4 linked regions of the Oreochromis niloticus genome follow. The protein of the gene in region 1 purifies or fractionates together with the protein of each later gene. This does not show direct contact. Links are inferred from orthologs where the notes say so. Each region holds a gene or a part of one and is shown on either strand. Other genes may lie near its edges.

Region 1 (7,728 bases):
TGAAAAAGACCACATCTGTCCTGAGACTTTCGTGAGAGAATCTGAAACAGCTCATTTCTAATTCTTAGAGCATATCATTCCCAGTGATTCAGATTCTCCTCTTCATGCATGCTGGTACTCTGGTCTGTTTCAGGTCCTGTGCCATGACCCCTATAACTTTTATACAAACAGAATAATCTCATAACATGCCAATCCAAACTGACAATCATAATATGATTTGCATTCCACAGCTGCCATGATAGCAGTCCACATTTGAGACTAGTTTCAAACATCTTAATTTAAAAGCTTAGAGTCAGAAATCGTGCTTATCCTTTAGCTGGCCTATTTGTAAGCCCAGTCTTTATGCATTAAAAGTATTATGATGTCACTGACTGGGTCCAGAATTATACATACATAAATATGGGGAAAAATGAAATAAGAATACATTAAAAAAAGTCTACATTTTGAGTCACATAATGATATAATTTTAGATTTTGGATAAAAATCTATATATCAAGACATTCAAAATATAAATTAAATAGATATAGACAAAAAATATTTCTATAAATACATCTTGCCTGGAAGGTTAAGGATAAAATAGAGAACTATCTGCATCGTCAAAGGCAGAATGGACATGATAAATGGTGAAAACATAATGACACTGCTTCTCTGTTCACCCATTTCCACTTGCAGCTATGTGTTCTTTTTGTAATGGCACTAATTAAGCATTGGAAAAGTGTGAAAAATGCCCCAATTTAGATCCTGTTAAATGAAAACAGGCAACAAATTTTCCCATCTGCTCACAGAGCTCTTTGAGGAACGTTTCCAAGGTGTAAATCAACACTTTTGAATACAAGCAGAGAGCCATATGTTGTTGTTGCTGCTGGATTTACAGTGAAGCCTGGGTGAAAAGAGCAGCTCTCCGACTCTGATGCAAAATAGCTTTGATTTACAGCAAATATGTTTTTGAAAGCCGTATTAGGAAGTCCACAAATTTTTCTTTATTTTCTTTAACTAATTCTTAAAAATATGGAAAGTTTGCATTGTCTTTGATGATGTTTTTTTAAATAACACACTTGCAGGCCAGTTACCTTCCGAGATACAAAATATTGCAATTCGAGAAGCAGTATAACAAACCTCTGACTGTTTGACCTATTAAAACATTTTAGCCTTTGAACAGTTGTGTATGAGCCGAAATCAAAGCATGACTTGTGGCCGACTGAATCCAAGCACTCTGCTGAGAACTGATAAGATGGCACACATTCAAAGTCTAGTGCAGATTGCCATATTGAGAGGAAAGAGGAAGAATGTGTTTATGTGTCTGTGTGCGTGTGTAATGTCTAAATATGCAAAAATCTGGGTTAGCACCATAACAAATGGAACCGAAGATATGAGCAGGCAGCAGATTACTCGTCCTTCCACTCTCTGACAGCTTGAAACATCATTTCAAACATTCAGTATAACGCAGAGAGAAATAGATAAATCACACGAGGAATGTTTTACTTTTAACACGTCGATGGCTGACTGCTTAAGAAATGATTTAGGCTGTAAAGGCTACAATGGCATTTTTCTCACTGGAAACATACAGTACGTTATCATAGGAAATACCAGGAATTTTGATAGAGGTCAAAAGCCTCTGAGGGTGAGTGGAATGGGGCAGAGGTTGTGAAAAATTGACTTTGATCATCAGTTGCGTTCCTGAGATATGAAGGCAAACCACTGGCTCCACAGGAAGCAGGGCGGTCCCCGAGTCAGGGTAGAGAGAACAACACAGAAATGCACACAACGACTCACAGTTGATTTATAGAGATCAAGCATCATCACATACACATAAAAAATGAGAAGCAGGAAATGTTAGGATTACCCCTCACAGCAAGCCAGAAGCCGCTACTGCGTGTCATTAAATGTTCCTGTTAAAGGGAAGTTTTTCCTCCCCACTGTCGCCGACTGCTCACTCACAGGAGATCGTCAGATTCATGATGGTTGAAGTTTTTTCTGAAATAGTGAAGTGTCTTTGCCTTACAATATTAAATGCCTGGAGGCACTTTACAAAATAAATGCCTACATATAAGTAAAAACAAAATTCCAATGACATAAAACTGAATAGGAAAAAACAAAAACTGCAAACACTCATTCTGCGTGCAGTACATTTGTTTGTTTTTTACCACATAATGCAAAATTCCCACCGCTACTGTAAATGAACAAAATCTTTTGGCACTGTGTGTCAGACAGTAAAACATATTCCTTTGTAGTCTGAACAAAAAAAGGGTGAAAAAAGATCAAAGTATTTTTTCAGTTTGTACACTGAATATGAAACAAAACTCTGACTCTGAGGTTTGACTGTTGGCTTTATTCTCCAATTTGTTGGTGGAACAGTGACATCAGATGAATAGAGCTGCACTTATGCACTGTACTGACTTTTGAACACAATAATCAATATTTAAACTTTGAGAATTTAGTGAGGAATAAAATATTTGACTATAGTGGGGTCACTCCATAAAGTAGGGACTATAAATCTTACCCATTTATCCAAATGTGGATGTGAAATTCTCTTATTTCAACTGCCTGAGTGGAAATCTTGAGCGGGTTGGTAAGGACATTACTTTTAGTGACCTCCAGTTCATCCCATGTATCATTACCTCAAACATTCTCTAACATGCTCGTCCAAATATCTCCTGCGTTAGTGCGGTCTAAAGTCCTTTCTGCATGACTGCGGATTTAGCTCTCTTATAAGGAGGAACAGGTGGGCTGGATGAGATTGTAGCTTTTCTTTTTTATAAATTTAATAATAAAGGATGTGCTCTGACAGCTGAGCAGACTCACCGTGACTAGAAACAGAAATGCTGCTGCCCGTAGCCAGACTCCTGAGTCGATATTAGACCCAAGCTGCTAATATATCTTTGGGGCTTTTTATCTAAACTGCTCAGCTACTTGGTTTGATGGACAGTCAGTCTCACTGCTCACTGCCAACCGCCATATTTTCTGTGATCACATTCAGTGCGTTAGCATGGAAATGGTTAACAAATTCACATTCCCTAATGAATAAATTCTGATGGTGATACTAACTCTGGTGAGCATTTCTGCTACTTAGCTCAAACTATAGCTGCATGCAAGGATGACAATCAGAAAGAAGAAATATTTCTTCTTTCTATCAACTCTGACTAGTCCTTTCCTTTCCTTCCCAATGTCACCAAAGTGCTTGCTCATAGGGGGTCTGTATTTGTGTTATTATAGGATCTACCTTTTCATATAAAGTGCCTTGAGGTGACTGTTGTTGTGATTTAGCGCTATATATATATATAAATTGAATTGATTTGAACTGAACTCGTCATACTGGACACTGCATACCTGACATTTCAGTCCAGAGCCAGTGTTCAGTATGAAAACAGGAAGTAGAGTGCCTCAGTGTTGTAGGGTCGAATGAGGTGACGGGTGGGCATGTCATGTTTGAAGCATGTCGTACCTAATTTACAGCTTGTTTTTTTGTGAGTTTTTTTCTATGAACATATATTTTAGAAGCAAAAATTTTAAAAGCATTGAGCACTTTCACCAACACTCACTAACTGACTCTGTTATTAGGGTAAATTTGACACATTTTTGCAGCCCGAAGGATCTAAGAATAGAAAAGTTGTCTCTTCAGTTTTTATCCATCCATCCAGCAATTTTGTTATCTGGTGTGTAATCATCATTAGGGTCTTTTGGGGGGGGGGGGGGGGAACCAACCAATCTGAAGAGGTCTCAGCTGTAATTATGGATCTCTGAGAGTGCTCTGCCGCCTTGTGTGATATGAAAACTAGTGAAGTTTTTCCTAAGTTGCTTTTCATTCAATGCATGATTCAGTACTTCTTATTACGAAATATGAAAGAAAGAAAGTGCTACTGAATTTGCACGCACCTGCAGGATGGACACTTGGAAATAGGCAATCATTTGTTTCAATCTAACATGATGTAGATATCACTATCAGCGGGGAGCATTCAGCACGCAGGAGAGCAATAGTCCAGTACCAGCAAAAGCTAGACACTGTCTTCTATAAATATGTATGTGAATCCACACACCACAGCATCCTGGTGTGGTGTGTTTAGGTGTCGTTGATTACTTTTCGCCAAGACATGTTTGAGATTCATCCTGGAGACATGTATTAACTGTGTGTCACAACACGCTCTGTTGCTACACTAAACAGACCGGTAGTTTTGGGTTGATCGTTTTCCATGCAGGGTTTGTTTGGCCTCTCTGTGACCCTGCCTCTTGACCTTTCCTCTCCTCTGGGCTCCCTAGTGTTTGTGCAGGCCCGTCTTTCTACTTCAGCTATGCACACCAGGCCTGGAGAAAGCAGCTGCAGTGTCACTGGGAAGCTTTACCACTTTGCCTGAAGGCACTCGCATTTTCACACCAGGGGTCAGTATGGCTTGTCGGTGCCTGGTGGCAGTTTGGATGATCTCAGCGATGTGGCACTGTTTTATGCTTATAGCATGAAAGAGAGGCTTATTCTGGTGTATGATAAATAAATAAACCTCCAACATGTGTCCTTTTGCTTTGTTTTGTTTGTTTCTTTGGTCAAACTTTATTTGCCTATAAGCGCATCTTCATCACCCTGGTGATAAAAAAGCACTGGAGCATTTAAGGCTTGTACACTTGCAGCGGTCATGCAGAATTCGTGACCACATATACGCTCTCTGGTGGAGACTGTGAGCCCATCATTATGTTTTTTGTGGTGTGGGTGGAGCTGTGCAGTAGGTTCAGACCTGCTGTACCAGCTCTGACTCTGGGATTTGTTATGAAGGATGCCAGCAGTGGAAACCCGTCGCATGGAAGAAATATGTTTAAATTTACCTAATTTGTTTTTTGTAATGATATTTAAAAATGGCATCCAAACTTTATAGTTTATTAAACATTGTGTACATACACGTTTAAGTGAGTTTAACACTAATCACGAGTCAGTCTTTGTGGATGTAGTTTTTACAGGGTTTTTTTTCCATCGGTTTTATTTTTTATTTTTTTATTCAGTTTAGTTGCTTTTTACTTTCCCTTCGCTTGACCCGTGACAAATGCTGACAGTGTGAACGGCTGCTTGGCAACCTTACTGGAAAGACAATGAAAGGAGACTGAGAACGACGCGTGTCACACTGCTTTCTTCAGAAAACTTACTCCCTTACTTCTCTTTATGGCGTTTCAAAATGACAGACTCTAACTTGAGGAACGAAAGCAACCATGGGCTGTTTTTCACTTCTTTTAATGGATCTGTTTTGGACCAGATGTTACCAAATGACAGCATCACCACATGCAGGAACTTCACAATGGACTCACAGGTTGTCGGTGTTGGGATCTTTCTCTCCGTTTTTATTTTGGTGGCAATTGTTGGGAATATTATGGTTATCCTGTCTGTGGTGTGCAACAAACAGTTACAGACCGTCACAAACTTCTTCATTGTCAACTTAGCCATAGCAGACCTCCTGTTGGGCATTATTGTGCTGCCCTTCTCTGCATCTCTAGAGGTGCTGGGATGCTGGGTGTTTGGCCGGGTTTTCTGTAACATCTGGGCAGCCGTGGATGTGCTTTGCTGCACGGCATCCATCCTCAGCCTCTGTATGATCTCCATCGACCGTTATATCGGCGTGAAATATTGCCTTAAGTACCCAAGTATTATGACTGAGCGAAAGGCAGTGGCTATTTTAGTCCTAGTGTGGGTATCATCTGTTGTGATCTCGGTCGGTCCGCTCCTGGGATGGAAGGAACCGCCGCCTGTGGACGAAAGCATCTGCAGGATCACAGAGGAGCCGGGATACGCGCTCTTCTCCTCGCTTTTCTCTTTCTACCTCCCGCTCATGGTCATTCTCATCATGTATTTTAGGGTGTACGTGGTGGCCCGCAGGACTACTCGGAGCCTGGAAGCGGGAGTCAAACGGGAGAGAAATAAGTCGATGGAAGTGGTCCTGCGGATACACTGTCGCAGCGTGCTGGAGGACGCGCGTCCGTCGAGCTCAAAAAGCAGCAAAAACCACCCGTTTCGAAGTTCGCTCTCCGTGCGGCTGATGAAGTTCTCCAGGGAGAAAAAGGCTGCGAAAACCCTGGCCATAGTGGTGGGGATGTTCATCCTCTGCTGGCTGCCCTTTTTCTTCTTTCTGCCAATGGGTATGTTTTATTTATTGATCTGTTTTATTTTTATATCATCGTTTCTCAGCACTTCATGCTGGGTCATGAGCTGGGTCCTGCGTAAAATAGGATTCAGTCTGTTGCATTTCCTCCAGACTCCTGCAAAAGACGGAGAATATGACTTCTTATAAATGTTCCTCTCCTAAATGCGCCTTTAAAAAGTTTCTATCTTTAAGAGCAACAAACAAGCCTGTTTCGGGCCTGCTATGATTTATGATTTTACTCCTGAACTGATCATGTGTGAGATGCAAATCGGTCCAAAGTAAAACGTTCTGACTAAATGGGTCGTGTTCAGTATAAGAAATTGACACTGTGATTGAAACCGTTTGCGTCTAAGCAGCTCCTCTTGACAGCTGCACAGACTTTTATAAAAGACTCAAAATTATGGTCGCAAAGGAAGCCTAAACGCATGAAATTCCGTGAATTTCAATTTAAGAAAACCTTTTCAAGCTGTTGATAAACTCTGTAAAATCAGCGTTTGGCATAACAAAAGAAGAAAATTGCGTGTTCTGGTTTTGATACGGAGTTTATTTTGGGAGCTATGCCAGGAAGTGATGAAAATTAAGATGCTATAATGCTACAAAAACAAATTCTTTTGTCAGGAAAGGTCAGCTCTGCAACATGACCATTAAAGTGGTTTGTTTTCATGCCTGTAATTTTTCCATGACTGTAATTATTCCTTCATATGGCTAATATCACATTTTTCAAAGAACAGTCATAACAGACTGACATTCTTCACTGATGACCAGTTCCAGCCGGCTACTTACCTTGGTAAAAACTCAGACAGGCATGATTTTAAGGAATAAACATTTATGTTTTATTGTTGAGGATATTCATTAAGTTGACTACAGTACTGAGAGAGTGGGATGTAAGATTCAAATCAGGCAAAGAGATCCTCTCTTCCCCCTGCAGATGGTTGAAAAGGCCATCCGCTGAGGGTGACCAATTCAGTCTTTAAGGCAACACATAAATCAAACTGAACGAACACATTTTAGAGTGGAATCAAATGGAAATAGCTTTAAATTTAAAGACAAAACTGGACATAAATGAACAACTTAAAACACAAAAAGAGGCAATATGGATATTAGCAACAAAAAGAATGATTGAAATGCAAAACTGAATAAATAAAGCGTGCCTACGCAGCAGGATTCAGGCTAGACTAGAGTCACCTAGAGTTAGACTAACAGAGCTCTGGTGCCACATGTTAATGGTGGCACCACGGATTTTCATTTTGCATATATTTCACATAATTGATTGTGAGAGCCATTCAGAACAAATGGCCACTATCTTACTGGGCATAGCACTAACACAGCACTCTGATTCTTGCTGCACCTCTCCTTTTACAGACTGGAAGTATTAGAGCAAAGCCTGCAGGGACACACGGGGTGCATGAAATGAAATTGGTGCTACTTATCATTTTATTCACTTAATGGGAAAGAAAAGGGCAAGTTTATTTGTATGCCTAAGTCAGACAGATACTCCATCCTCGACGTGTGATTAAAAATGACAGGAATGAAATTTAAAGGTTTAAAATGCTAAAAGTCAGTACACATTTCATTACACACATTATTAATCAATTTGTGCACCTCGAGGCAGTCT
Region 2 (7,696 bases), on another chromosome or scaffold:
TTAATAAGCTGTATTCCAATAAATTTAAATTAGCGCCTTCACACTGTGCGAACAGACAGCATGAGGTCATACTGCAGGCCTGTGTGTTTAAAAATCAATGTGGTTGACACTTGATCTTTATGATATTTGCTGTACATGAAACTTACAGAGAGAGAGAAAGAGAGAGAGAGAGGGAGAGAGAAAGAAATTGCCAGTTTTACGGTCATTGAGTTAAACAGTCCAGCATAGATCACAGTGAGCTGCGGCCCTGAGCACTTACTCATCTCCACCAACAGTTGCCTTCTATCTGCCATGGTGTCAACGCTCTGCCCGCAGTCTTCAATCATTCTGATCAAGAGGAGAGAAAACAGCGTCAGAACCCGAGTGCCTCAGCATTAGCAGTCGCAACCTCAGGGTGCTCTTCCTCAAGCTTAACATCAACATTAGACACACATCGTTATGACTCAGTGATAATGGCAGTAGATTAAACTCTTGACTTTTAAAGCAATGACTCCTAAACTTGATACAAACGCAGCTTCTCTGTTCTGGTTATCTAAAGTTTAATCAGTTGTGGATATCCTGATAATTCAGCTAAAAGTTGGCTAAAAGCCTTTCACCTGACTTATTCCAGACAAGGGGACAGACTTACTAAATGAGCACATGAGCGCAATAAGTTGCAAGCGATCGCTTGATATCATTAATTTTGATAACAAGCATGTCTTATTTTTTGCACTTTTTTCAGCATTAAATATCAGTGCAATTAGCAAAAAACTGTCCCAAATGTTAATAAATGTTTGCACACCCAATTTTAACATTCTCTTACCGATATTTTGCACCATGTGAAAGAAGCTCCCAGAAATGCATATGCACCAAGGTCAGTAGCAAAAATCAGTGTTTCTGCCTCTTAAATGCAGGTGTGTTTTTTTTAGCTTAAAATAGCCCAAAAAGTCTGCTTTAGATTGCTGGAAGGATGGCAGAGATGTAACACAATTAAACTTCCATCCGTGACATGAAGGTTAAGCACATGTTATAATTCTGAGTTTGCTAACTTACTATGACATTTACAGCAGAAGATTTCTCGTGCACTTCACCATAAAACTGCTAAGTGCCTCCTGCGTACTATATAATGAGGCATTGCTCCCAATTTACCACAGATAATAACAGTATTAAGATGGCTACTTTGTTTTGGTATATCAAGCAACTGACAGGAGCTCATCAACAGGTTGAGAACATCCAAATTTGGTACAGGATATTAATATTATTAATATTTAGTCTGGTGAAGTTTGAACTCATCAAATTAACGTGGTTAGCCAGTTATTCACTTTAGATGCCAACAGTAACAGAGTGTTTAATGTATTTATCACAGTTCCCAATGCAGGAACCCCAGCAACACTCCTTCAACTACTTTATCACAGTTCCCTCATTTTTTGTGTTCGGAAAGGCTAATAAAAGGTCACTGCTCTTTAATTTCCTTACATAAAGAGAAATTAACAGATAAAAATGATCACAAGAGCTGTCGGTGTGTAAACTTCTTAAAAAAACCCAAAAACATCAAAGGGAGCCAAAAGGGGCCCACGGCTCATTGTGCCCCATCATCCCACTGCAGGACAATCCGGCTGTGATAACATCATGCTATACTCCAAATTTGAGAGTATTCATATTTTGTAAACTGCAACTTGAATGCAGCGCAGTGCGGTGGTTATCGGAATATGTTTAAGTTGGACAAGGAGAGGAGTTTGAAAGGGGCAGAGCTGCAGAGAGAGAATGCTCACACCATGCCTCGCTGCACACTGTCCGAGGCAATCTAATACACCTAGTCATGTGGTTTTGTTGCTATGGCAGCAAAGATCCTAGCCGCTTCACTCGTTAAAACACACACTCATACACACACACACACACACACACACACACATATAACACCTCCCACTGCAGACGAGCAAAGTTTGTAGAGAAAAGTTTTTCACCAGTAAATATCTTTTATGAGATAACGGTCGGCGGGCTGATACTTGAGCGCACAGTGACACTTCTTGGGCGAGTGGCTTGAAAACGCTTTTTCTGTGAGACAGTCATTCAGGCATGCTTTTTCAAATTACTCTGACAGTAATTGGTAGACCCAAATATTATGCTGCAGAGATGCGTGGTGCAGAAATTAGAATTCACCTAGTGTTAAAATGCAAACAACACCACAGTTTTCTGGCCCACCTCCTGCTTGCCTTCCTCTGATTCTTGCCAGTGCAGGCAGTCAGTTATGGAGCACTAGGAATGTTTGAAATCCACTTCAAGAGGGGAGAATTAAGCTAATAAGTTAACTTGGAATTATAGGATAAAGTGCAGTATTTCAGTAAATTACTTCACAATAGAGCACAGATCAAAACGGCCACAGAAGAATTCAAACGCTGCCCTCTAATATCGCAAATAATAAATCCCATCAATTTAAAGGGAATGATGAATACAACCACAGCGCTTTTAGATGCAATGTAATGTCAGGCCACTGCCAGCAGCCACAAGTCCAATGTCATCATGAAAGCAATGGATATTCAATCCCATTTATCACTTCCAGACTAAGCAAATATAAAAGTGTACAAATATACAGCATTGTCTAGATTAAAAGTGATACCCTTTGCCACATCACAGGCAAACACATCCAGAGTGCCAGCTACGTGACCTTCTGCGGTCTGTTTTCATTCTTGGAAATAACTGAGATTGATACAATCTATTGCCAGAGCTGATATTAAACCAGTGCGGGGAAGGGAACGACATGATCAACCTTACCTTTCATAAAGCACCATGTTCGTATTCCTTTCCCCCCCTTTCCTGAGCAGAGTTATTACAAAGCCAGGTCGACCTTTCTCCTAAAACAACCGTCCATGACACAAACTCCTTTCAAACAAAACGGGCCCGTGCGGACGGGCCAAACCGAACACATCTGAAACTAGAAACTGTGAGCCAGGATACAGCATGTGCTGTCACTATCTTTAACTACAAATGAGAAGGTGCCACATTCTTCTACAGCTTTGCCGGATCTCTAGTTGCAGACCCCCACAAAACATCGTGCCTGACATCTGGCCCTGGCAAACATTACTCACTCTCTGTGGCACTGCCACACTGGAAGTATTAGAAAATAACTGCCCTTAAAAGAGCAAATCATCTTTTACCACTAACAGTCCAGAGAGAGAGTTAGTGTGACTCATTCCTGCAAGACTCTTGGCCGTGTTTAGCCCTGCCACTCTCTATCCCACACACCCCCCCTTTTCCTTTTTTACGCTGCACAGCATTTCTGCTGGACAAATATCAGACCAAAACAAGCCTTATTAGTCAGTTATTTACATTTTGATTCTATTTCTGCAGCGGCGCGATTAAGAAAAAAAAAAAAAAACCTGAGGAGAGCACTGTTAATTTATGTCCTCCTCCGTGTACTTGGACCAGGCTGACATGCAACAATTCCAAACACAAGCACTTACTAGAGTTACAGTCCAATCTGTGCCGCTGGCTTGGGACAGTACATCGCAGCTGTTACCACTGATTGGCCAGAGTTATTTTTATATCACGAGACTGAACTACACTGGCATCCAAATCCCATCTCCAGACAGGAATTTAAAAAAAAAAAAAACAAGAGGGAAAAGCTGCACTGCTGACTAAAGGTTAATCAACTGTTCTGCTGTGGTGTAGTAAAGGTAGTCAGACGGTGTTCTCCTCATGCCTGGTACCAGCCGGTGATGTCTGCCGGGAGGGCTCTCTGTCACCTGCTGATGATCACCATGGTTTCAGCTGCAAAAAGGGGAAGAACTTTGGGACCCTGACGTTAAAAGAGAGCGCAGACACTGATTTATGGGTAGCAAGTGTCCCAGTGAGTTCTTTGCATGAATTAAGAAGCTTGAATTCTGTAATGTCACAAGAAAACAAACAAGGGGATTAAGTTTGCATGGTTGCCTGTCTAACTATGCAATGTGAAAGCCAACATGGAAACACAAATTTGCACTGAAGAGAGATGCACCTCTGGGTATGGACTCAGTGATGTTGCCCTGTGGAGGTTAGGGCAGCATTACTAAAATCCTAAGAAAGGTAGCAGGACATTGGGGGGTGGGGTGGCAACAGGCACCCTGTGGTACACGCTCAGCCCTCATGCATCACCTGTCATACTCGAGACACCTGTGTGGACATGAGACAAAAGGTCTCACTATTGTAGGAACACCTACCCCCACCCCTTCCTTCCCATTATCCGCGTTTCACTACCTGCACATCTCCCGTTTTAAATCACCCAAAACTTGCCAAACTCATTTCACCCGGAGGGGCAAAGTGGGTTAAGCTCGCTCCTCTCGTTGCCCGTCAGTCTCCCTCCTCCCGCGACTGCAGCAGCAGCACTTTGCACAACACTTACCAGAATTTATTTCGAGGCATGCCATGCAACATCACTGTTTTTCCATCCGCGAATTCGTCGTCGTGTCCCGGGGCGCGATCACGGTTTCTTTGGTGTAGGCTGCTGCATCGCTGCACGTAAGCGGCCGTGCCCGAGCCGCTCTCCGGCACCTCCGAAAAAAAAGCTTGTGTTGTGGAAGAAAATGTTTTTCAGGCAGCGCACACTGGCTGATCGGAACAAGGCAGCTTCTGCCTCCAATATGTGGCCTCCGCGATGACGTAATGCGGAATCTCTTCACTTGCGTCAGCGTGGCAGCAAAAATGTTAAAGTTTGATACAACAAAATATTTTAAAAAGATGCTAAAAACATAAAGGAGCAGATTATGGCGCATAATAACGTGGTCTTATATACACGCATACATGAGGTCGTTTGCAAGTTGCGGCTTTTCGGCATCATGTGGCTTAAAGAAGATGACGTCATGCAGATGAAACAAGTGCAAACCTAATAAAAACAAGAGTGGACAAATAGTTGCGTTAATGGTGACCGAAGTGCAATAATATATCTGTAGGTAGACTACCATTGATTACTTTTTGACTATTATTTTTAATGTGGTTTTGTAACATGCGCTCTTTTCATCATTTGTTTCTTGTTTACTTTAGCGTTTATCTTTTCAGTTCCGATTGTGCTGATAGTCTCGCACTCTAGTTTTTCATGTTTATATGTAATGTTTCTTTATGTTAAATTTGTATTTACGTCTTTAAATGTAACTGGAAGAAGATTGTGAGCTATTCAGGGCAGAGCTTATGTGAATCATAACGAAAACATCATTAAACAAAAAAACAAACAAAACAAAAATATTAACAAAAGGAAAACCCGGGACCAAACCTAAATAAAGACACTACCCTGCCATTACCACACACACATACACACACACACACACACAAAATAAAAAAAACGATAAAAAAAAACAACAATAAAATATTACACTGTTTAAGATTACATTTTTGTACATAAGTGTAGAGTTTTAGAAAGTCCTAAAATGTTTATTCATCGTTAAAATAACCAAACACATTGTAAGAGAGAGATGATATGGCAACAGCATAGCAGCAGTGATGCTAATTCAGTGCGTTTCAGTTTTACTTTTATATATAGTACAATATTACATACAGACATTCACATGGCTTCATAGGCATAACAAACGTTATCAGATTTGATATCATCTTCTTTCTTTTAGATTTGCCTGTTAGTTTATAAATTCAGCGGTTAATGTTTTAATGGTCACATATTTTATATGAAACTTCAAAATAAATCTCCAAAGTGCGTTCCAAGATGGCTGCTGAGTGGTGTTTAAAACTAACGCTTTCTGTGGGATTCTTGGACAATAGGTTACTGAAGTAGGATTGCTGTACCTATAATCGCCTAAAAACATAAAAAATAAAAGTTGAATTTGACATTAATCCCACCTTTGTGAAAAATAATGTGTTTTTAAAAAATAAAAAAGTAGCTAATTTCACATGACTGTAGGAGACCTCCCCGTGCAGCTAAACAGCTGCTGCTCTTGAACGTAACTCGCCCTTCCCGAGCGTACAGGGCCCCCTTGTTGCTAAGCAACCTTCGAAGAAGATTGACAGCAACTTCAGTTGATTCATTCGAAGAAAACTTTAAAGAAGGGGCAACTTGTATTTGTTGCTGGTCAGCTGCGAGGTATTTAATTCAGAAGAGCAGTATCACAGTTTAAGACAGTTCTCTGATGGCTGCCAGCCAGAAGCGTATTAATACAAGTAAGTTGATAGCCATTCATTTTTCCGCTTTCACTTTGTGCCATGACAACGACCTCCCCCAGCTCATTAATTTGTCATTAGCTCAGTTAATTAAACGTTAACTTAACGTTAGCTAAAAGAGCGGCATCCGGAGATGAGTGAAGGTATCAACTTGCACTTAGCGCAACTTTGACCCAAAGTTCAACGACAGGAATTAAATCTATTATAACCCGAGTGACAGAAATATTTAGCTACCAATTATATTTTTCTGTTTTTTGGAGCTAAAGATCCAGGTTGAGCTTAGACAATGAAGGTTAACTGATGTCTCTCCCGCTTTTACAGTGCGCTGAAAAGTTGCTCTATTGTCAGCGATGTGTTCTTTTTAATACATTTTGGGGAAGTTGCAGCAATGCCGGACGTTGAACCCCTCAGATTCCCATCCAGGGAAGGACGACCAAGTCAACAAGGTGAGAAGAGAAGCGATGCACCTGCAAATAAATCCACTTTAACTCTACACACTTTACAACAAGCAGTCTAAATTAATAACGTTAGGGATGTTTTTTTTAGGCTAACACCCTGTTTAAATGTAGAGGCTTGTTATGTGTTAGGCAGTCTTCCAGGCAGTGCTTAAGCATCTGCACCACACAGAGCTATTAAAATGCTGAGTAAATGTAATGATATTTAATGATGTTGAAGAAATGTCACTATCTAACATCATTGGCAAAAATGGCACTGCAAGTGAGGCTCACATGGGCCTCCTCTGTGGCTATAATACACCCTGCCAGTATGATTTAGAGCTAATTCAGCCCACCACTGACATATTGCCTTAGCACCTTCCTACCCAACTTCAGAGTGTATTATTCATCTCAGCTGTTCAGCAGCAGATGGTCTTCCTTTTAGTTTTTCCCTTTTTTTCCCCAGTCTCTTTACTTAGTCTGAGCTACTTCACTCAGAAGCTGTTCTGGAAGCATCATGATAAGATAACTGGTCTCAGTCACGTGGAAAAGGTTGCAGATGTCACTGTCTCGGTCTTTTTGTTGTTGAGACGAGTTTGCAAACTCCTCAAGGGCACACACTTTCTCCTGTGAAGCATAGGTAAGGTTGGTCAGTGTCCGTGTTACCTTACTTAATAGATGTCTTTGGATTTTCTTGCTGTTTTTGGCTTTTAATAACAAAAATGTATTTTATGCTTGAGTAAATTAAACCCCAATTAAAAATATATTTCCTCTGGTGGACGGCTAATACTGTCAGGGTCCTGGCTTTGTTGAGCTTTGGATTCTTGTTTAGTATTTATTGAGATTTTGGTTCCTGTTTTGATTAGACCCTTGTTTTTGTAATGTGTTTATTCGCTCTCTGTTCTATTGTTTTCCCCCTCACTCCTCATGGTTATTATTATTATTGTTATTATCATTATTTTTGATTACTATTGAAGGTTTGCCTTTTCACTGGGTCTTACATCATGCTTTTTATGTCTTCTCTACACCATTCAACCTGACTGGAGCCAATTTTGTCTTTATACTTAGGAAAAACCCTGGGGGCAGTTGTTGTTGCATATGGGCTTCACCTGTTTATCACATCTAAAGGACTGAAACCACAATTC
Region 3 (7,919 bases), on another chromosome or scaffold:
TTGTCACTCTGTATTGAGGGTGAGTGATCGCAGCTGAGCTAGCTGCTAGCCAGACAACCTTACTTGTAAAGAAAAAAAGAAAAAGAAAAAAGCCCCCTGGGCTTTTTGGGCTTCAACAGCTGACACTTTTGTAACAAGAAGTTTTCGGGGCACCTATTTGACAGGATCAGAGGGGAAAATGTGATGGAGACTGTGAGGCCTTAAGTCATATCATAAATGACAGTGTAGCCAAGACAAACAGGGACAGACCCAAATAATAAGGAAAGTGAGAAAGGATGAAGGAAGGGAGGGTGTTGGGCCTGTGTTGGCTCACCTCTGACCATGCTGACTTACGGTATACGGGTGTGACAAAGACAAAACAGACACCCTGTCACCAACACTTCAGCAGAAAATAGATTATGCCCGGCTTGCTATTGTTGTCCCTCCTCAGTCACAGTGAAGCGGGATTTAGACAGACTTGGCAGGGTGAGACAACCTCTCTATGGGGCGCACGCCATGTGGAGGATACCCTATGGCTCTCATCTTTGGAGTGTCAGCTCATGAGTGGCAGAAAAGCCATTTTCAGATGCAGCCAAAGAGCTTCATCTGTGACGAAGTATCTGTATTATCTCTCATCCGCTTGTGTCTCTGTGGTTGCTTACATAACGCATGATTAATTCGATCAAATGTAACAGGTCATTGGAGGAGAGGGGAGATTTATTTAGGAAAGATCCCATTCATCTCTCATAAAGTGGAAAACAGGGTGTATATGGTTATGTGAACACATCTTTACACTGTAAAAACTCTTGTAATTCAATTCACACAAAGTACTTTAATTTATCCAGCTGATGCACTCTGCATCAATGCTGATGGCCTCATCATGAGGTTATGCTTGGAAGATAAAAACGTTGTTTCCTGCTATTTTGTGTATGTCAGCGAGGTCAGTTTGATAAGAAATCCACAGTAATGGATTTATGATTAGTTAACAGAGTCTGGAGTCCATATCATGACAAATGTTGTGGATATAAATGCAGGTTTCTTTACTTTTTCTGTGTTTTCATTATATATAGAACTTTTCATGTTACATTAATGATAAAACTAATGCTATTCTTTCTGTTGTTACTTCAGAAAGTCTGAATCCTGACAGAAATGTAGAAACACACTTCTAAATAATTTCCACAAAATGGTGAAAATCTCACAAGGATGAATGAATACACAAAATGTCTTTAAATGTTCCACTCATTCATTTTATTGTACCATTTATTGCCTACAGGTGCAACCAAGGATCTCTGAAGATAGTTTTGTTAGAATATAGTAAATTAGAGAATCACTAGATTGAATTTTATATTCTACAAGAGTACTTAGGGGCTGATGGACGATGAAGAGACCTTCTAATATATTTTTTTAATATCTAATAAAATATCGTTCTGGTTTTTCAAACCCACAAAAAGGCATACTTTGCCACTGTAGTTGCAAGAGTCTACAAAAGCACACCTAATGAGTCTATAGTCATGCTTTTACAATTCCAAACTCCCAAGTGATAACAGCATTTTGCAACAGCTCACTGTGAATACTTTCTCCGAGCTCTTTCTTCAAGGTGAAAGAAGTGGGATTATCTTGGTGCGCACTTGCGTGCGAGAATGCAAATTAAACTAATAACCATTTATGTGTGTCATCTCCACACGGTCCCATGTGTTTGTTATTTCAAACAGCAGAAAGCATCTCTGACAAACGAGGCAGCCTTCAGAAAAAGGAGGGAAAAAAAGGAAAAAAAGGTGATCTGGATGAAAACAGAATGATAATGAGGCTATGTGAGGTGTCCGTGATTATGTAACAGCAGAAATGGAGACGCGGAAAAGCCGAGATTGCAGGGCTGGGGTGTCTGCATGCCACTTTGCTGCTGCCTGGTTTTGTTTATGTACAATTAAATTTGTCTTGTCCCCGAGGGCGCCTCCTTGGCAGAAGGATAACATGACCCGCTTCTTATTAGCACTTGTACTTAACTCTCCTTTTTATTTTGAACATATTAAAATGTCTTTCCAGCCAGTGTCTGTTATTCTCTGCATATTGTTTTCACTCAGGCAGTGCAATATCCTCTGACACCACCACACCATAAACACCTGGGATTAAACTCATCTAACATTACAGACAACTGAAACCTTTAAGCCGCAACATAACTATAGGTCACTTAAATAAAAGCAATGCAAATCCAGCTGAACAGCCAAGCAGGACACCTCACCTCAGCCTGAACTCCTCTCTTTCACAGAGGTCTCTGCGGTCACTGTATCGTGCTAAGGGGATGAGTTCAGCTGCAGGTCTCTGTGAAGGCCACGGCAGCTTTACGTGCAAGACCTAAGTTCATCTGATCAGCACGCTGTAGGTTACAGTTTCCCCCGGAGGACATGAATTTCTAAGCTGTGCATAACAACTGCATTAAGCTGCTAAGAAAAACAATGAAAAATAATGTTGTGCGAATGTGTGAGGAAGATTGTGATCACAAACATGCGCATTAAAAGCATGCTTTCATGCAGGCATGGGTTGTTTCCTCCAGCTGAAAATGTTCTACTGTTTTAAAAAATGCAAGGGGAAAAAAAATCCATCAACATTCCACCACAATCCTCCCTTTGAAATCCCCAAATTTCAATCTACTTATCCAGCAGGGGACTATGACTGAGTGCACTCATTTTACATCTTGTAGACTGCGAAATCACTATCTCTTTAGGCTCAGCAGTTCCCGTCCCAGGAGCTGTACAACCAGAAGGAATGATCCAGAGAGAGAGCGAGCGAGAGAGGGAAGTCAGCACTTCTAAAGCACGGGAAGAGACAGTAGCAGCTGTTAGCAACACAATCACACCACGCATAAGCATCTTTTATTTAATGAGCAATACCCTTGGACTGTGCGAGACGAACATACACATCAGGGGCTCCCTGCTTATGTGCCGTTTCAGGCAAATTGTCAAAATGGAGCATGCCTCAAAGAGATTAGAGGCAAAAGAGCAAATATTGAATATTCCAGAACAAATGAGATGCTGTTTAGAAAAACAAGCCAGTGTCACAGCTCGGATGTGGCGATGACAAAAAAAGGAAAAGGAAAGAAACAAGAACAGACACGCAACTGCGTTTGGTTCAGATTGTGTATTGGAAGCTATCCGTCTTGGTGATAACTAATCTATTTCAGTCAAAATGTTACAGGATGTATCATATTTCTTATCTCACTCTTCCACTTGAACTTAAATGCTGTGACCAGCATCATTTCAGCCAAAACAAGCTAATACACCACAATGCAAAAAGGAACCCGAGTGGAGTTTATCGCCTTATCAGCTGGAAAAGAGCCTCAGCGCAGATTACCAAGAAACATACAGATACTATCTAGCTGGTAGTAGAGCCATTCATCAAGGTGGAGCAGAACCTTGTCCACACAGCAGCCAACCTACTTGCATGCCTTCATAATGATGCATTGCAAACGTGTGTATTTGTGTGGGTGTGTACATGTCTGCTTGTGAATATATGTGTGTATGTGTGTGGAGTGAAACCAATGTAAACAGGGAGGGTTAAACTAAAGCATAGCTCTGGGGTTTTAAATAAATACTGGCTAGGCCTGAGAGTGGCAGACACATACACTCACACAAACACAATAGTTGTCTCCACTGCTGACACAAGAGTGCCAGCCAGCCACCATAGGTGATGATAAAGCAGGCAGCAAAAGGCGTCACTAACAGTGCCACGGTGCTTATAAGCCGTATCTGGTCTCTGCCATCTGCTGTGTTTGTAATGTGAATCGTTTCTCACCACTTGTCATCCACTGACTGCACTTGTAAAGTTAGAAATAGCTTCCGGACCCGCTTGAGGAAACTGAGAATTTTGGCAGTCGTTTGGTCGGCCTCGGATACAGGCAGCCACAAAGTACATTCGGTTCTGTTCTGCGGATACAAATCACCAGGTCACGAAATAAGAAGAGGCATCACAAGGATGAGACGTTTCCTCCTCATTTCGGAGTGTGAAAGAAAAGGTTTAAAGGTTTGTAGAATTCAAACATAGGCTGTGATCTGTAAAAGGACTGGACACCTGGGGAATTTGGGAAATACATCTGGGTAAGTTCAGTAGAGATACATGTTTTGACTCTCTCTTTTGGCCAAATAATGAAAACCAGGGGGGGGAAATGGTTGTAAAAGGAAGTCAGCAACACCTCTAACTGAAATGAATGTCATTAGTGATGCAAAGCTTTCATAACTAAATTTTCAGTCATTTATTAAAGTCTGCGTAAGAAATAACTGTTTTGATTGTAGGAATTCAGGCAGATCCGCTCGTTCCCTTTTGTTCCAGATAACAAAATGTCAGCGTTCAATGCAGTTTAGCTGATTACCACCAAAATAAGGAGGCAGAATTAAAACACAAGAACTTTACTGCAGGCTTACCAATGCAGTCACTCGAGATCCCTTTTTAGTTTCACAGCCTAGAGGACATCAAATGGTACATCATGAAAATGAATGTTTTCCCTCAAGACAGACAAAGGGTAACATTTGTAACTTCATAAGATCCCAGTCCATGTGCTTTAGTGCTGCCTGGTTTTAATTGGTATGTCTGGTGAGGCTTTCCAGAGGGAAAGTAAGGCATTCTCACACTCCAGGGGATAATATAGGATTCTGTGTCTCAGAGATCAAACCAGAACTGTGGTGTGAGTGAGGCAATGCCCCTTCCTCTCTGATGCCCAGAGCCATGAAATCTTCATTCATTTTCAAAAGCAATAAAAAAAAAAGTACATTTACATCAATTAATGATGCATTTCCCTTTATAATGTCCCTTCTTCTAGGCGCACTATAGATCAATTTGAAATGTAATTAATACTTAAATGACGTAACTGTAATTGCCACGTGCGTGAACACGTACTGTATATTAAAACATAAATAGCTCCCGGATCATCACTGTGCAGTGCACACAATGATGAACTGCTCAGCGCTCCCCACTTAAGCAGTCAGCAGTGAAAAGCCGACTGCGTGTGCGTGCTCTGTGCGTGGTTGCCCACAGTGGTGTGCTGCAGTCCGCTCCCTGCCGTAGTTGAGTAAAGTACATGGACATTAGCGGGCGCAGCGGCACAACCACCGAGCTGGAGTGGATTAAAACTGCGTGCGTGCGTGGAGAGCCACTCGACGACCGACTGCGAAACCCCCGGAGTGTAATCCCAAGTCCGTTACACCAGTTTGCAAATGCGAAACAGCAAAGCAGAGGCTCTCGGTAAACTCAGTTAGTGGCGTGCATTGTGTGTATGTGTGTGTGAGAGTGTGTGTCAGTCAGGGAGAGAGCGAGAGAGAGAGAAAGCTCGGCGGGAATGGCTTCATCTCCGTGCGGCAACAGTAACTTTGATTCCGGTCTGGAAATCAAAACTCGCTCGGTGGAGCAGACGCTTATTCCTTTAGTTTCGCAGGTGAGTACTCCGGAAACCTAAATCGTGACGTTTAGTTGTCGTATCCGAAGCCCTTGCGCTCTCAAACCACACTTTGACTTTACAGCTGTGTCGAGCACATGACACCGATTCTGTTGTTTACCTATTTGTGCACTGTGTCTGCAGTGCGTGCTTCCTTCCCGTGCTGCGTTTAAAAGCAGTCCCACGTGTGAATAGTTCAAGTTACGACACTGTGGTCGTCCTGTAACTGTTGTAGAAAACGGAAAAGTAACAATACTCAAAGTTGTCTTAAGTTACAAAGGTGGGCACAGCCAAGTCTGAAGAAAATAAGCTGTGGATACGCTGAACGGGTAACTAGGGAAGTTTGTGATTTACAGAATTACATAACAGACTAGAACAATGCAGGGTAGTGAAACTGTTCACACCCAGAAGACAATAAAATTAATTATGATGATGGTTCTTTATCTTTGTGAGGCGATCACAAACTCTCCAGGAAGTCTTCACACTCTTCAGAGAGTAGCCCAGAAGCCGTAAGAGTTTTCCCTGAAGTCCTCCTTCGCCACTCCTGAGCTGTCCCCGAGCTGTGGCTCTCTCTTCTCTAATTGAGCCACTTTAAAGCACGTGCTTTGTTTTTCAATAAACACGGGAAAATGAAGGACCCACTTAAGGCCACTGCACTCCTTCAGCAACTCTCCACTCTTGCACACTTTAACAGTCCCCGGATTAAACAAAACAAGGAGCTTAGGTCAATGAGTTAATGAATCGTTTTATTGTATTTTGGTTAGAAACTTGAGGCTGTTTGGGCCATTTTAGGCTTTGATTTGCATGACTATCTTCCGCTCTTGTTTCCAGCATGTCACAAAAAATGGGGAAGTCGTCTGCTCCTGAATAGGGAAGTGACCACTAGTCTTATAAATGCTAATATCCCCCTGTTTTGTAGGACAGGGTTGTGGTTTTCACTGGAAAGACAGTGGGAGAAATCAGCATCTCACTGCTGGGTTAACAGAGGCTGGATAATACCACACTGGGAGGCCCATGACACTGTTCCTGCTCCTCCTGTGCTCACTGACAACCTGCTTCCTCCCTCTTATTGCACAGGCTCATTTGAAAGATATAAGGTCATCCTGTCCTGAATAGATATGGGTTACTTATCAGAAAAGGACATCTGTTAGAGGGATGTGCTTTCCATGTAGTATGATAAATCAGAGCTAAATCTGTGCAAGTGTATACCGGTAGTGCAAGCAGGAGTTGGGGGAACAATATTCGCACTAAGTACTGCTGGAATAATGCGCAAAAGTGTACAATAAAAGTCCCATCCCTTGTGTTAGTGTAATATTTACAGTCCAGCAAACTTATGGTGCACTCCTGCCCGCTGAGTTATTGGCTGGGCTCCCGTCTGTAGAGGGGTAAACTGTAATATGCATTCAGCTTATTACAGTCCATAGAGGGCCTCAAGGACAGTGTTTCCTAATTTTCTTTTTTTCTCAGTGTAAGGCATGTCCCCATAGCAACAGAGCTCTGCAATGCTGAAAGAAACCACATTTTCAAGGACCGTCAACTCCATATGTAATATTTTGTTGTCGTTTTGTCATAAGAACAAGGTCACTGTTAACTGATACACAGGTCTTTGTGTGCAAAAATGCACAAAACTTTTTTGTTTTGTTTTTTTTAAAGAAATTATTCTGAGTATGAAATGATTAGTCTATTTTACAGAAGCAATAATTTTGACAATCTGATTCTGACAGTGGATGTTATTTGAATTTAGATTTTGAAACAAGACTTTCTCTCGGGGCTTAAGTCAGCCTTTTCTTCTGTTTGTGGAGATGCAATAGATTCAAAGAATAATTGCTTAAGGTAGAAAATTGTTTGTATGAGTAATCATGACCAGCTAGCCTTCATTTTCTGTCTAAAATGCAGTGAATAGAGCAGCAACAAAGCTGTTGTCTTGTCATAATTCAAGAAGGACAGTAAGCTTTATTCTGATTGTAAGGATGGTGACTTGCAGGTGTCATGATATGATAATAAACTGCTTATTGAGATTCCACAAGGAATGTGCAATATCTAAATTAATGAAAAAATAATAATTAATGGCAACAAAACAACTGTTAGTATTCTAAATACTTTTTCCAGTAAGAAACTGCTGTTGTAGATTACAGTAGGTACACTGGAAAATAACGGCTAATATATCTGCAAGAACTTCACCACAATTTACAGGAAAACAATCCTGAACGCTTGCTGTTTATGTGTTTTTGTGTGTGCACTGAATGAGAGAAGAAGAAATCTGTGGTTCGTATACGCTTTGTGAGAAAAGTCAGTAGAAAGACTGATGGTTAACCCAGCTGTGATAATAAAATTACCTGGCTTCAGGTGTGTATGATAACTTTGTTAACGCCCTTATGTGACATTTCTGAGAATGAGTATTGCCATACATGCGCATCAATTGAATTAGTGTACTTAGAAACACTGACTGTGAGGGCTGTGTTCTGCAGCTTGTCTTCTTAAGGAGCGTTGTATGTATGCGTGTGTGTGTTTGTGTGTG
Region 4 (7,875 bases), on another chromosome or scaffold:
ATTTGGCACCAGCATGTCACACTGACAGCTGGCTTCTCACATATTTGCATAGCTTTGTGTCAGTCAGTTGTCCAGTTGCCATTAACTTAATGTCCCAGCCCCCTTTTCACCATTCAGCATCACACCACCCCCTTATCCATATGCACAAATCTCAATTGCAAGCTAACCAGTAAATATATCTGGTCTTTCTAATGTCCATCCAGCGTTCTGCTACATGTAGACAAGAACTGCTTTCCATTTGGGTGGAGTAGATCCAGCATCCTTGTGGTGTGCACGCTGACTCACTTACATGGCTTACTGGAACACAAATCTAATTTGTTTCAGCTGTGCTTTTCCTGTAATCAAAGTAAAAGAAAAAATATTTTTGCTGGGAAAAAGTTTTGTAAGTCAGTAGAAATATGAGAGGATGAGGAGGCGGGAAATATGAAAGAACAGGTGAATGGATAGACGGGCTCAGTCATGTAAGCCATGAAGGCACAGAGTGGCGATGAAACTTTGATTGAAACTGTATACCTGTGGTTTCTAATATAATTCAAAATAAAATATATTTACCAAAAAGAGTGTCCCAAACTCTCAGGAGTACTTGTTTTCTTTGCCAAACCATCATGTGCTGATAAAACTAAAATTAACCACTAAGTAACAGATCATTTATTTTGCTTAAACCTAATTTGCTGCTTATTGCTGCTTATTTTTTGTTTCTGTCGGACTAATAAGGTTTAACATCAAGTTACTGTGTATCAACACATAAACAACACTGAAGTGATATTACTGAATGGCCACACAAAATGTTAGAAATCTGAATTTACAGTTATTTTTTCATTGACTTACTATATTAACATAACTGATCTGAAATCACACAAAAAACATAAAATCCTTTGTTGTTTTTTACTGTAAAAAACACAGACATGTTTAGTAAATTATTTTCATAACTTGAAATGCAAATATAAATTTTAAATTTTGAAAACCTATGCACAAATTTTGTAAACAATAATGTTATATACAACTATTTATCTAAAAATGCAGCCAATGCACCTGGCAGTTTGATTTTTTGTATAACCATTTAAAAATACTGCTATAACGAAAATGAGAGAACAATCAGGTGTCACAATAAGATGACCCACAAATTATTTGTGCCAGTAAAAAAAATTGTTTGTCCGCCACAAGACAGAGGAGACACCGATAAACCCTGCAGGCCTGACAACGGGTGTATCACTCCACCTGGAGACAGTGTTTACATTACAATCTGCCTTTGTCACATTCATTAGTGCCCTCACTGACACACAAAACAAAACAGCGAATACACAGCACACTAACTATACACTCCACGCTAAACGTCACAAATCTCCCACATCTCAAAACTCGCTGTCGATATCGCTCTCTATCTTTGGTTCATGTTGTCATTTTTTTTATTGGTTAAAATCGTACATTTTTCCACCAGTAGGAAAGAGGTGGCTTTTTTTCCTTTCTTTACTGTTTTCGCGCTGTCCTTAGAAAATGCTTTTTAAAAAACAAAACAAAACAAAACAAAAAAACAAACACTTCTTCTGCACTAAACATATGTATTTTTTTTAATCATAACTCTAGATTTAGTGGCCTGCTATTAAAATTTAAAAACTGGTGTATACTTTGAAGTCCGAACTTTCAACACAAGCTTAAATAGAGACTCAGCGTGGCTGCAGCTTGTTGCTGTATCAGCTTAAATCAGTCAGGTGTGTCCTGGACCTCAGAGGGTTAATAAAACTCACCTTCATTCCATTTTCAAAGTGTGACAACCAACCACCTGTGTGAAATCTGAAATGCCCGTGGTGTTGATTCAAAATGTGCTCTGGCACAATCATAGGCATGGGTTGCTACTGTAAACAAGAAATAAATCCGGTTGGCATATGGGCTGAACCATTTGTTAATGGTGGAGGGGGGTTAACACTATGTAATATATTCAGTTTTATAATTTATATTTAGTGTTAATAATAGCTAGGTTCAAAGTGTTAATGCTGTCTTATTTTAATAAACAACTCTGTCATATGTAAAACTTGGGCTGTAATAGGGGCGGCAAAAAATCATTTTAGGGTGGCGCATGCCACCCCATGCCACCATTCTAGATTCGCCCCTGCCCCAGATCTGCGAGAAGATCCCCCAAGACACCAACTGTGTATCGTTAGGAGCCCTGACATCATCAGGTATGCACACATGCATGTGGGGGCCATACAAACTAACATCTTGAGTTACTGGACTACTGGTAATGGACTAGCCTGCTGCATCATTTTCCCCCCTTTGATTTGGTTGATAATTTTCATATCCGCCAAACAATGTGGCATCATTTCATTCCTAACACATTACTCAGTTGATATGAGTACAGATATCCAGCATGATTTTTCTTTCCCATTGAGATCTCAAGTGTTCATTTAATTCATTTGAGAAGCATATTTTACAAAATCCTGATCGTTTTTTTCTTGGTCTATGAAGAGCGTGTCCTCATTCTGTTTGCAACAAGCACAAAGATGTATGTGCCACCAAGCAATGGTCATTTCCACCATGTTTTCCCCCTGTATACACTGTATATTGGAAAACTGACATGTCAGTCTTAAAGCAGCAAACTTAAAAAGGTTCTCTCATTGTACTCGATTCTCATTCCAGTTAAAACTAATAGATAAAAAGTGTATTGGTGAGGCAATATGATGACTATACATGTTTCTAAAAAGCTGAGGTAGGGCCATGTCTCTCACTGAGTCGCATCAGCTCTATAAGCTTTTTGAAAATTGACAGTGAAAGGTTTTGCTCAACAGTTAAGTGCCTCATTTGTTGTATGTTTCATTTCATAATGCACCAAATATATTAGTTTTTCCTGCTTGGCACCCAGACTGCAGGGCTCTGATTATACATGCAGAATGTGGTTTGGCATTGTCTTACTGAATTAAGCAAGGTCTTCCCCTGGAAAAAGATCTCTGGAAAAAAGCATTTGTCCCTCCAAAACTTGTATATATCATTCGGCATTAATGGTGCAGTTACAGAGCAAGTTATTCATGTGCATTAATGCCCTCCACTTCATCATAGATGCAGCTTTTTAGACTGTGGGCTGCCTTTTAAACTTATGGACTGATAGCAAGCTGGATGGTCGTCTCTTGTGATTTCCTAAAAGATATTTTCACATTTTATTCATCATATCACCAAACAGTTATCTCCCTTGCGTAGCTGTGGCTTTCAGAAGTGTCTCTGAGCCCTTGAAATGGTTTCCTCTATAGAATTACATGTATTAATAGGCCATACACAACAGCCATTCAATAAAATTTAGAAAATGTATCATCTCCAAATTCTTTTCACTTTTTTGTTGAAAAAAATGCTTTATTTATTTATAGGATTATGCATCTTTCCTGGTCTTTAGCTTCCTATTTTTCAACTTGTCAGCTGAAACATGTTGCAGCTGACAAGTTTTTTTAAACACAGCATCCATGCTTTTAGGGTAAAATAGGCCTAGTAGGGAGGATTAGCCTAGTAAAACTAGAGATGGATGTTGAAGAAAAGCTGAAGAGAGATGGGGAAAAAGATAAACCAGAGTGAGCTTTACGAATTAGTGTGTGTGTTTTCCCCCCTTGGTGCCATTGGTGGCCCTGAAGGAATAAATTATTCAATAAAAAGTCAAATAATAATAATAATAATAATAAAAAACAAAGCTCAAAACAAGATCGGGCCACACGTGCGTCACGTAAGTCTTCATCTGACTGCTTCCCCCTCTTAATTATTGCCAGAAAGCCAGTTCACAGACCCACAACACAGAACATGTGTGTTTGTGTGTAACCACACCTCTGTGCAGCTGCTCTCTGGTGCACTGAAAACAAAATGTGCAATCAAGTCGCCGGGCGAGGAGGGATATAAAAAAGATTTATTAACACCTTTAAGTACCATCACCTTTAAAAAGATAGCACTCTCTCTCTCTGTTTCTTTGTTTGTTTTGAAGGTCATTATCACAACAAAGATTGTACATTTCACGTGACAGCTCATTTCCATATAAAAGTAAAAATCGCTTGTAGCTCCTACACCTCATTAAACTAAAAATATTCTTTGTATTTCTGTTGCAGTCTCTTGTTCACAATAAACAAGTTAATCATGTCTTTGGTGCAGCTCAGTAGTAATGATCTGACATAGTTTTGAGGGCAGGCTTGTAGGGAAGCTTGTCTCCCACGCTGTACTATATATTTCCATAACTGAACAACTTTTAATGACACATTTTAACTTAATCCCACACACAAACTAATTGTGCACATATGGCACAAAACAGAGGTAAAATACTCTATATTAGCAGTCTGCAGCCAAGTCATACATTCACTAAATCACTAAAGAAGCTCTAGTATTTAGTATTTAAAGGCGTCACCGGTAGGTGTCGTAGCAACATTTCTAATAGTTTAGTGTGACACTGTGGTCTACTTCACCACGTTTCAGCACTTGAGCAGCTGTGAGTAAGATCCACAGCCAGACAGCTGCGGAGCTAAAGACGTTTACATTAAACATTTTCTTGTTCTCAGTATTCCAGCTTTTACTGAGATGCAGTCAGGAGCTGGTGATGAGATGAAACTGATTTTGTCTCAGCCTCACTGTCAGTCACTCACTAGACTTGAACACAGGGGTTAAGCCTGTGAAGAAAGGTCCGCCTGACCAGCGATACTCCGAGAAGCTCCGGTCACTATGCTGACATCTCCAGCTGCGCTCTCAAGGTCTAAGCTGACTGACTTTTTTTTTCAGCTTTCTGGATCGCGCATGATTGACAGGGCGTAAGGACGTCCTTTAGAATAATAGTAGACAAAACAAAGCCTTAGAGGGAGGCCTTCCCTGACAGAGCTTCAGAGAAAAACGTGCTCCCTCTCTTCTTTCGTTCTTCGAAACAACCCGCACAGACGCATTCCTGTACGCGCGTAAAACCTTCTCACTTCACCCACGGAAAAACGGGCTTTCGTAGAAGAATGGGACCCACTAGACACTTGGAAGACTGGAAATTAGTTCTAGTCATATAGCCTATTTGATTCTTCTTCTAATTAATATTATTTAAATATGTCTTTAAAAATCTACCGCCGTGGGAAAAAAAATGCCAATTTTCCGTGACTTCAGTTCCATCTTACCCAAGAGCGCACAAAACAAAAAATATTCTACTCCACAAATTACATTTTATTTTCCTGCCAGTGTAAAAGATTCGTAAAGCCAACTCTAACATGACAGTAGTGTAGGCACACATCATGGTAGTCTTGTCGGTTTGATGTAGCTGGAATGGATGAAAAGTGAATTTTTGCCTAATCTTCGCGGTGTTTGTTTACCTCTGCACTGGTTAGCGTGTTTTACAAGAAGTTGGGAAATGATGTACACATTTTGTACAAGCGGGATCTGGAGATGGGATCGGCTGACGGCGGGGGGAGGAAAACTCCACCCAGCAGATAGGATCTTGGGCAGGCAGAGCGGAGGGGGAGTTTGCGCTGAAAGAGCTCGGGCTGGTCGGACGGGACGCTCGATATAAGTCCTGCAGAAAACTTCAGAGGGGGCAAAGTCCAGCCCGGGCGAGAAGAAGATAGGGTGGAACTTGCGAGCGCGCTGGGAACTAAACCACATGTGATTTTTTACAGAAATGCTCCAAAGATGGCGGTGGTAGTAGCGACTGGAGTTCCGATTGGCTCTGGAGTGCAAAAAAGTGGATTTGTAGAGGTTTTGGTGCGAGAGCAGTGGCACAAAGTTTTGGTCAACTTGAACGAGGAAGCGCTCACGTTAAGCTGTGAGAGCAACGTTAACGAGAGTGTCGATGACAATGTCAACTCTAACGGCGTTACCAACGGATCTTACCATGACAACAGTAATACCAACTCCAACAATGGCCCCCAAACTGTGCGCACCGCGTTCACGGACCTCCCGGACCGGGTACCCGAGGCGATCGCCAACAAAAAGCGGTGCGTCAAGGTGACCAAGCAGGAAGTCGGGGGACTCGGGATTAGCATCAAAGGAGGGAAGGAGAATAAGATGCCCATCCTCATAAGTAAAATATTCAAGGGGCTCGCAGCGGACCAGACCCAGTCTCTGTATGTGGGGGACGCGATCCTGTCCGTGAACGGTATGAACCTGCGGGACGCGACCCACGACGAGGCTGTGCAGGCGCTGAAACGAGCCGGGAAAGAGGTGACTCTGGAAGGTAAGGCATACTGGAGAGGAGGCATGTGAGAGGATAAAAGAAATAGAGGAACACCTGAAAGAGAGGTAGAGGTCGGGGAACCTCCCATTGATTGAGTAGATTACGGGTTGTTTTTTGGAAGCCTCTGTGAATGTTCGTGCAAGTACAGATTTTATTTAGTGAAGGAGTGAAAAGCGTACCCCGACGGTAAGAGCTGAGTGTAACATATCCCACAACAGTTTGTGTGTCAGTTTCTCAAATGTTGCGTAATATTTTTGGGATGCCCATAAACTCACATAAAGACGTGAGGAGATCAGTGCTCCTTCACTGAATGACACCTGTAATGTCGGAAGAACCTCTGGCTCCACATGGTTGCCTTTTTAGACTTGGGTTTTGGGTCGATCAGGTCCAATAGACACGTTTTTTATTTTCTACTTTCCAGTTAATTACAGTCACTTGTCACTCACTTATTGCAGCAATAGAATGTGAAGGAAAAAAGAAAAGAAAAGGGAAAAACACAGCTTCCACTTTGACCTCTGCTGTAGGATGTAATTTATTTTACATTAAAGAAGAGAGGTGCTGGTTGTTATACCCGGGAAAGTAAATATTATTCCAGCAGCTGATATTAATTCACCCTGTTTATATCAAATTAGATTGCAGTCATCCGAGTCTTGAACAACACTGGCATTTGGTGCTGTTTTATTACATAATTTGGAAACAGGTTACAGACTGATTGCTTTTTGCAGAAAAGAATAATTGAGATTAAGGAAATAGGTATTATGCAACTAGATGTGCCATGGGACAATCATGCAACATCAAACTCATATCTTTTCCCTTCCTCTGGCCTTTTTTGCTTCCTCAAATGTGCAGCCTGTTCATTTTTTTTACAGTTGCTTTCAGCTAAAAGATCAAGATTAGGCTGTGGGTAGCCACACTGAGAAAGGTGAAGACACACACACACACATGCACACACATTCCTTTATACAGGAAACTGTTGCACATAAGTGCCTACTTCTCAGTTCTTTAATTCCTGTCCCTAAGAGGACTCTTGGACCCAAGACAATAAGAACAAAGTGTCACTCTCTCACTCTCACTCTCTCTCTCTCTCCCTCTCTCTCTCCCTCTCTCCCATGCACACGTGCACACGACTCTCTCTCATCTCAGATACACAAACACGGTGATCACCCTCCTCATGGGGACATGCTGGTCCCAGCTGAAAATTGTATCACGATCTGAAAGAAGGGCAGAGGAGATTGGAGCAGAGGAAGGTGAAGAGAGAGAAAAATGAGGGGTATAAGAGCATTTAATGGGAGACTGAGTGGATGAGAGACTGAAACAGAAGGACAGTTAACAAGAGATTTAAAGAGGCTGAAATAAAGATTACTGTGAGGGTTAGTATTTTCACAGTAACTGCTATTTAAGAGAGATAATTTGCACGTGAGAAATTGGGTAACACATGAAGGTGTTGCACAACAAAATGGCATCAATTAGTCAAATGTAAAGTAAAATCGAATGAATAGTGATATGTCAAACCTAAATATCAGCACCATTTTATTTTATTCTTGAGTGGGAGCCACCTTGAAAAGATTTGAGAGAGGCAGACTGTATCGTATAAGAAAAGGGATCAAGAGGAAACATCTGATGTATCTTTTAGGAGATCGTACCTGTCCCGTGGGAATAGAGTGTGTTAGTGCATTTTGTCTGCAAATGTGCAAAAGATTTGTACGTGGATGTTT

What was found.
Region 2: the proteins of adra1d (region 1) and dtna purify together in Homo sapiens (tandem affinity purification; 4 studies listed by BioGRID and IntAct, with this or other methods). This does not show direct contact. The link is inferred for Oreochromis niloticus from reciprocal best matches to the Homo sapiens genes ADRA1D and DTNA.
Region 3: the proteins of adra1d (region 1) and ctnnal1 purify together in Homo sapiens (tandem affinity purification; 3 studies listed by IntAct, with this or other methods). This does not show direct contact. The link is inferred for Oreochromis niloticus from reciprocal best matches to the Homo sapiens genes ADRA1D and CTNNAL1.
Region 4: the proteins of adra1d (region 1) and sntb1 purify together in Homo sapiens (tandem affinity purification; 4 studies listed by BioGRID and IntAct, with this or other methods). This does not show direct contact. The link is inferred for Oreochromis niloticus from reciprocal best matches to the Homo sapiens genes ADRA1D and SNTB1.

What each region holds. Positions count from the first base shown.
Region 1 is NC_031971.2:20,780,783-20,788,510, forward strand, and holds the start of adra1d (alpha-1D adrenergic receptor), read left to right. Parts: upstream 1-4,710; 5' UTR 4,711-5,153; coding exon 5,154-6,108; intron 6,109-7,728. UniProt on the Homo sapiens protein: This alpha-adrenergic receptor mediates its effect through the influx of extracellular calcium.
Region 2 is NC_031982.2:18,410,490-18,418,185, reverse strand, and holds the start of dtna (dystrobrevin alpha), read right to left. Parts: upstream 3,014-7,696; 5' UTR 2,769-3,013; coding exon 2,752-2,768; intron 328-2,751; coding exon 260-327; intron 1-259. Other genes in the region: ccdc178 (coiled-coil domain-containing protein 178), read left to right, coding at 6,506-6,563. UniProt on the Homo sapiens protein: May be involved in the formation and stability of synapses as well as being involved in the clustering of nicotinic acetylcholine receptors.
Region 3 is NC_031985.2:23,066,713-23,074,631, forward strand, and holds the start of ctnnal1 (alpha-catulin), read left to right. Parts: upstream 1-4,910; 5' UTR 4,911-5,305; coding exon 5,306-5,401; intron 5,402-7,919. UniProt on the Homo sapiens protein: May modulate the Rho pathway signaling by providing a scaffold for the Lbc Rho guanine nucleotide exchange factor (ARHGEF1).
Region 4 is NC_031976.2:8,169,992-8,177,866, reverse strand, and holds the start of sntb1 (beta-1-syntrophin), read left to right. Parts: upstream 1-4,869; 5' UTR 4,870-5,616; coding exon 5,617-6,160; intron 6,161-7,875. UniProt on the Homo sapiens protein: Adapter protein that binds to and probably organizes the subcellular localization of a variety of membrane proteins. May link various receptors to the actin cytoskeleton and the dystrophin glycoprotein complex.